Caenorhabditis elegans: one gene and its partner. The protein of the gene in region 1 purifies or fractionates together with the protein of each later gene. This does not show direct contact. Each region holds a gene or a part of one and is shown on either strand. Other genes may lie near its edges.

Region 1 (3,754 bases):
GATGTTCGCCACGTTCTCAGAGTTCGAGTCTAATTTGGTTGGTCCCGTAGAATCTGTTTTGTTTTTTAAGAACAATTTTTATGAAATCTTCAAGATTCTTGGAGAGTGAGTGGCTTCATTTTTCCTTGTTGTTTTCGAACGAATATTATTCTAGAGATCACATCAGAAACACAATTGCCAGAAACAAACCGCAGGCAATTATAAGTGTTCAATGCTCACAGCACGTCTTCTTCGACAAATTGGTATTGATGGGCGATGCAGCACATGCAATGGTTCCATTCAATGGTCAAGGTGTCAATTGTGGATTTGAGGATTGCCTTGTGTTGCAGGAAATTATGGATCAATATGAGGAAGATGAATTGGAAGATGTTATCAAAGAGTATTCAAAAGTTAGAACAAATGAGACGAATATCATTAATCAAATGGAATGGGATGTCAATTTAACGGTTAGATTTCTACATTTTATATTTCTTCGGGTGCTCATCTTGTAAGTAAGATTCTTGATTCTATATTGATAAGTGTCAAAATTCTACGAAAACATAAATACACAGTTCTGAAACATAATACTTTTACTATAGCGAGATTTCATGTTACTTGATAATTTTTGTTACAGCTCACGAGTTCCGTCCATGGCAGCCTGGGATGGATTCGAGAAATACGTGCACACATAAAACTATTGTTATGCTTCATTTTCCCATCATCGTTCACATTGGCAGCCTTCTCTCGGGAGAAATACTCTGAAATTGCCAGAAAAGCACAGATCGTCGAGAAGTGCACATCCTTATTCACAAACGTTTTCATTGTTTTCATAATTTCTGTCATTAGCCTCTTTTGGTATTGTGTGTTGGCAGTTTTATGGGCGAATTGACACCAAGATATACTCTACAGTACTCGGATACTGTAGAGGAAATCTTCAAGCATACTGTCTGCAATGTGCCGTCGTTTCTGGTGTTTGCGTCCAAGAAGTCTCGTGATTTAAAAACAAGTACCGATATTTTAAAAACGATTTTCTTTGCTGAATAAATATATTTATAAATACTGTTTTTCAGACATTTATTGAATTAAAATCCGTTTTTTCCTTAAATTTATGAAATTCCCCAATACGAACTATGTATTCTCTCGTTGCTCACTATGAAACCCACTTGAATGTTCCACCTTGCCCACCGAAATCGATTTTTTTTTTAATTTTTTTTACATCAGTGCAAACATTAACAGCTGTCTAGTGCACACTCAGACCGGTCGGTTCTGCTGCTATGCAGTAATATCTGTTTGCTCACCGATCATCAGTTTTATTATTTTCAAAAAAGAAACAGCATTTAAAACGGGAATTTGTTTTTTTCAACGTATAGGCCAAACACTGAATAATTTGGTTTTGTTATAATTGCTCTTCTACGCTGTGAGTCATCAATCGATAACCGCTCCGCAACCGCAATTGCCGTTCGTACTCTGCCACGCGACTTTCCCATCTGCTCTTCTTCTCTCACTCTCTTTCCCCCTCACTCTCTCTCTCACATTTTCGTTCATTCTATTCACCATCTTGTTACACTCATATCGTCTTATATTTTTCATTGTCTGTTCTTTTCTTTCTAAAAACAGTTTATTTTCAGTTTTATCCGCATTCTTCATATCGTTCATCGAAATGGCTGAAAAAATCAACATGTCTCTGGATGAAATCATCAAGCATGGCCAGAAAAAAGTGAAGTCCGAGCGAGTATCTGCACCAGCAGGAGCATCTACTAGCAACAAAGCTGGAAACAAACCCGTGAGTTTTAAAATAAAATAAGCAACTTTTAAGAATAAATAATTTTTATAGACTCGCCCAGGAAATGCCGGAAGAAACAACCGCAGAGTCCCACCAAGAAAGAGTGCTCAAGTTGTTTTGGCGAACAAGGTTTTGAAGAAATCGAAAGCAATTGCTGCTCGTCGTGCAGCTGGAGGTCAAAAACGCGTTTTCGGTGCCCGTGGAAAACCTGCTGCGGCTGCAGGATTGAGCGCTGTTGCCACCAAGAAGCTGGTTAATAAGCTCGTCAAGGTAAATCTTGTTTATATAATTCATTCTAATAAACCATCACATTACAGAATGCCCTTCGCAAAAGAACCAATATCACGACTGTTCCAGTCGTTCGTAAGCGTGGAGTACGTTTTTACCAGATTTTGTTCTATAGTTGAATATCGAGCTTTGAAAAATGGATTCTTGAAGTGAAATCTGGATACCACACGCATTAAGCGTTGTAGTAAAAGGCTAAAAATCAGGTCGAGAGTTTGATTTATTCCTCTCGTGTCGCGATAGAACCTAGACGTTCTTCGTGTTTTTTGAAACCGCGATGAATAGTTGGAAATACGATCATCCACTATTGAAAACCTGATAGAAAGCCAGGCTTCTGCCAAAAAATCAGAACAGATGGTCTCAATTTGTGTGAAGTTCCTTCCGGAGAGACAGACAGCAACTTCTCCTCAGCTTCTTCAGCGTGTCGAGAGTTCTTCCAATCTTTCACGGAGGTAAGGTAAATGATTTCAGGGTGTTGCTGCTTCAACTCTTGCCGCCAGACGAAATTTTGCATTGAAACGAAATGTCACTGCTGCCCAAGTGATTCAACCTGTGAGAACAATCATCCAACAGAGACCAATAACGGCTCCTGTTCGTACTATCGTACAGCATGTTCGTCAAGCTCCAGTCAAAGTTGTTCGCCAAATCATCACTGCTCCTGTGCAATCTCAAGTGATTCGTAGAGCACCGCAACAACAAGTTCGTCAGAACCGTCCACAGCAGAGACGCAATGTGATTATTCAATCACAGCAATCGAGAAGATTCCGTCCAACAAACAACAACAATAATAATCGTCCAACAGTCATTCGTCGTCAAGTCGTTCAACAAGTTCCAAGACGCGCTCAAGTTCAAAGACCACAGGTAAAAATTCATTATTATTCAGTATCCAGTGTCAGAATTATATTGTTCGTTTTCAGTATGAGCAGGTCGTGCAAAGAGTAATCCAGACTCCAGTGGCTCAGCAACGTTTCCAACGCCAGCCACAACGCTTCCAGCAACAGCAACCTCGTTTCCAGCAACAACCCCCGCGCTTCCAGAGACAGCAGCAGCCACAACAACAGCAAGTTGTGAGAAGCGTCAGATATGTGAATGCAAGACCACCTGTTCAGAGAAACAATGTTGTTCGTCAAGTGAGTATTCAAACTTTTATTTGCTAGAATTGAATTAAAGATTATGATTGAGTTTTACAATACTAGCCACCAATTGGATTAATATTATGAAACATAAATCTTAGGAATCTGTGGTGACCAATATATTGGTTTTTCAGGTTCAGCCAGTTCAATATCGTCCAGTCCAATACGTCACTGATCAGGTTGTCAACTCTCGTGGTCGTGGATTCCGTGCCTTCTAATTTCATCAACTCGTACACAATCAAGGATACTCAGAAGCTGCGTAGTTGTCTACACACCTTGCTTCATTTTATAAATTTATAATTCCTTCTTCCATAAACACCATGTTTAATAAAATACTCCGCCATACTCATTCTATTCACATCCAACAATAAACATGTTGCGTGTCTATCGAAATTAGTTACTTCTCTTATGTCTACAATAAGTTCAGTTGGATTTATTTCAACATTTCAGATGACATCCCGTAACAGGGTGCGAACAAGTTCTAATAGGTAAGAGACTAAATATCACTTGACTTCTCGGAAATAATATTTTTCAGTCTGGATCCAAATGAAGATCCTGTGTCGGGGCTAGAACG
Region 2 (3,754 bases), on another chromosome or scaffold:
AAATAAACAATATTTATTTTTAACAATTAAATATTATTCAGGGACGAATGGAACCGCGAAAATCTACCAGCCCAACTTACCCAAATTGTACGTGAATGGCAAACAGCTGACGATTCGAACAATACAATTGTTAATGGAACCCTCAACAAATCGAATGGAAATCTTGCCAATGGACACTAAATGATGTCCCATCCTCCTCTTCCAATCTACCTCCGTTTATCGATTTTATAATTTCAAACTGAAATCCGTTTTATCATAATTTCCACCAGTTTTCCTCTTGTCAAAAACCCCTTTGTGCGAAAGAAAACTTTCAAAATAAGTGCGGCTACCGTGATACTCACCTATTTTTCTTTGTCCATTTTTATTCAAATTAAATCTCTACCATAATTAATTCCCCTCCAATTTATTCGAGTGAGCATTGCCTGCCTCTCGGGTGTATTCACGTGCCCTTCTATTATTTCATTAATCTTTTCCATTATCTTTAACCTGGTCTTTCGAAAATGAGTAAATTGTGAATCATTCGATGTTTAATGCTAATACCTATTTTTGTTTTAATGATCCGTTTAACTTCGGATATTTATATATTTTCGATTTTATTTTAAATTTATAATATATTCAATCATCTAAACTTTTTCTTTCAGATGGACTTTCAGAACAGAGCTGGAGGAAAAACGGGAAGCGGAGGAGTGGCTTCGGCCGCCGATGCTGGTGTTGATCGACGGGAACGGCTCCGCCAGTTGGCTCTAGAGACAATTGATCTTCAAAAGGATCCGTATTTCATGCGAAATCACATTGGAACGTACGAATGCAAGCTGTGTCTTACTCTTCACAACAATGAAGGATCTTATTTGGCACATACACAAGGAAAGAAGCATCAAGCGAATCTTGCACGGCGTGCCGCTAAAGAACAATCTGAACAACCATTTCTACCAGCTCCACAGAAAGCTGCAGTTGAAACTAAAAAGTTTGTGAAAATCGGACGTCCTGGATACAAGGTAACAAAAGAACGTGATCCAGGAGCTGGCCAGCAAGCACTTCTCTTCCAAATTGATTATCCGGAGATTGCTGACGGTATTGCGCCACGTCATCGATTTATGTCTGCTTATGAGCAAAAGATTCAGCCTCCAGACAAGAGATGGCAATACCTCTTGTTTGCTGCTGAGCCGTATGAAACGATTGGATTCAAAATTCCATCAAGGTGAGGCTTTACAACATTTTAGCACTTTTCTATCTCATAGTTACGATTAAAAAAATTGTATATACCAAGTAATTTTTTCCAGAGAAGTTGACAAATCTGAAAAATTTTGGACGATGTGGAACAAAGACACGAAGCAATTCTTCTTACAAGTCGCATTCAAATTGGAACGACTCGATGATCAGCCGTACTATTGATACTCTATGTTTTTATCTTTTTGATTTCAAAATTCAAAACAATTTTTTCGTGTTTTTCGATGATCTAACAATAAATTATTTTCCTTTTTTTTAATGATGATATTTTATTTAAATCAAGTATAGGTTGACTGATCCGTCTACAATGTCTATTCAATTAAAATTATAGTTTTCATAGTTTAAAAAATCAGTTTCAGATGGCGAAGAAGGTTGTCAAAAGAAAAGCTGAAGCAGTGTCCGCTGACGCAGAAGCCGTTGCAGAAGCTCCGAAGAAAATCAAGAAGCAGAAACCAAGTCTTCCAGTCTCTGAACCTGATAATTATCAGGCTGGTGGATTATCAAGTCTCTTCGGAAAGTCGTCAGAAGGAGCAGCAGTACAAGAGGAAGTTGTGAAGGGAGATAAAGTAATTGAAAAACCTAAAAGAAGAAAGTATGATCCAAAAAAAAAGGCTGAAGAAGAGAAGGCAGCTGATGCTGCTGCTGCTGCTGAAGAAGTTGCACCTGAAACAGAAGGAGAAGAGAAAAAAGATGAAAATAAGGAAGGAAAGCGAGACAGAACGAAGCAAAGAGAGAATAGAACTCTTCAAAAGTCAAATGCACGTGCTTCAGCTGCTGAAAATGCTCTGACTGTTTTTGTTGGAAATATGCCATTGACAATGAACGAGAAATCAGTCCGTCGAATTTTCTCCGACTTTGGAACTATTTCCTCTGTCCGTATGAGAAATCTGCTTCCTGCGAATGAGAAATTGACGAAACGAGTCACTCATTTGACAGGAAAATTGAATGACAAACAGAGTTCTCTCACGTTCTATGTGAAATTCGGAGCAGAAGAATCAGTGGAGAAAGCTCTGAAGTACAATGGAACCAAGCTGGACGATCATGTGATTCGTGTTGACAAAGTTGGAAGTAAGAAGAAAGAATTTGGAAAGGATATGGCCATTTTTGTTGGAAACTTGCCGTTCGAGATTACCGAAGATGCTCTCATTACTTTTTTCTCTGCACAAATCGGACCTGTCGAGGCTGTCAGAATTGTCAGAGATAAAGATACTGGAAAGGGAAAAGGATTCGCGTTTGTCAATTTCAAACAAGATTCTTCTGTGAGTCTTGCATTGAGCATGGAGACTATCAAAATGGAAAAACGCGACTTGCGCATTACAAAAGTTATGAAGAAGGGACATTTGACGGTTTGTTTTTTTTCTTCGAATAGTTCTTCAATTTATAATTTGTTTTTCAGAAGATCCAAACTGCTAAAAAGCGAACATCTCACGGAAAGAAGAACCAGAATGAAATTACTGGAAAATTGCACAAGTTCAAGTTCTCCACCAAAAAAGAAAGGTTTGTAAATATGTGGCATTTTGTCAAAGGGCCCGCGCGCGCAATGTCATTGCCCGGTTCTTCTCTATTTAAATCGTTCAGCGTAGCGCAGTTGGGTGTGCGTTTGTACTCGAGGTCGGCGCCCACGAGTTCGACCCCCACTGCTTGCACGACTGCAACCTGCTTTCGGAACTTTACCGTCTGCGGTACTTGTAGTGCTATATGAGCGTGGGCCCTCCGTGTGCGTGTAATTTAATTGAACTAGCACTCCGTTGGTCACCGGATAATTTTGTTTTTCTTTTCAGAACAACTGAGCAAAATGATCGTCGTGCCTTGAAGAAGTCAGCGAAGAAAGCCATTGCAAAGAAGAAGGCTGCAAAGAAGGGACGTCTGATGGCATAGGTTTTTGAATATTTTGTTTTCATCTATAACTTTGTTGATTTGTTTTGTTTTGTTATTTTTATCACTATAAAAACAGTTTTTTAAATCTAATATTTTATTCATCAAACAAAAAACTATCACAGAGAAAAATACAATAAATGCAAAAATTACTCACAGAGAGGGAAGAAGGCAATAAATGAAAAACACCCATGAAGAACAAGGAAGCAAAATGAAGCGAAAGAAAACATAAACGAGAGTAGTCGAAACTAGAGATCCAAGAAATACATAATTAATGAATGTTAATAAAAAAGGAACCCAAAAATCTATTTATGCCATTGATTCTTTGTCCATGGCTGGTTTTGAAGAATGTACATTTGATACAGGGGGCGGAGCAACTACAGTAACCTCAGTCGGCTCATCATCGTCACCATCGTCCCAGTTTCCGTAGCTGGCAACTTCTGCTGTTCGAGTCTTGTTCAATCGATCGTTCAACTCTTTCAATGCTTTTTGTCTGAAAAAATTAGCATTTTAACTGGAACAAATCAAAGAAATCAAATATTTACCTCCGTCTCTCCGAGTCTTTTGCAGAATTCTCCAGCGCAGGCAAGTTGATTCCAACGGATCCTGATTGTAGAGAGTGAAGATCAACATGACGAACTTGTCGTTTGCA

The links. The genes of interacting proteins can lie anywhere in the genome.
Region 2: the proteins of pqn-53 (region 1) and rbm-34 fractionate together in Caenorhabditis elegans (co-fractionation; one large-scale study listed by BioGRID). This does not show direct contact.

Annotation. Positions count from the first base shown.
Region 1 is NC_003283.11:12,063,245-12,066,998, reverse strand, and holds pqn-53 (Prion-like-(Q/N-rich)-domain-bearing protein), read left to right. Parts: upstream 1-1,607; 5' UTR 1,608-1,639; coding exon 1,640-1,762; intron 1,763-1,813; coding exon 1,814-2,032; intron 2,033-2,079; coding exon 2,080-2,136; exon of another isoform or gene 2,137-2,518; coding exon 2,519-2,908; intron 2,909-2,964; coding exon 2,965-3,177; intron 3,178-3,314; coding exon 3,315-3,398; 3' UTR 3,399-3,567; downstream 3,568-3,754. Other genes in the region: kmo-2 (FAD-binding domain-containing protein), read left to right, coding at 1-105, 155-446, 614-868; clh-6 (Chloride channel protein), read left to right, coding at 3,631-3,668, 3,716-3,754.
Region 2 is NC_003282.8:12,083,837-12,087,590, forward strand, and holds rbm-34 (RRM domain-containing protein), read left to right. Parts: upstream 1-1,583; 5' UTR 1,584-1,586; coding exon 1,587-2,573; intron 2,574-2,623; coding exon 2,624-2,724; intron 2,725-2,872; exon of another isoform or gene 2,873-2,992; intron 2,993-3,008; coding exon 3,009-3,105; 3' UTR 3,106-3,187; downstream 3,188-3,754. Other genes in the region: lex-1 (Tat-binding homolog 7), read left to right, coding at 42-180; repo-1 (Splicing factor 3A subunit 2), read left to right, coding at 642-1,198, 1,281-1,392; F11A10.6 (Transmembrane protein 115), read right to left, coding at 3,412-3,595, 3,648-3,754.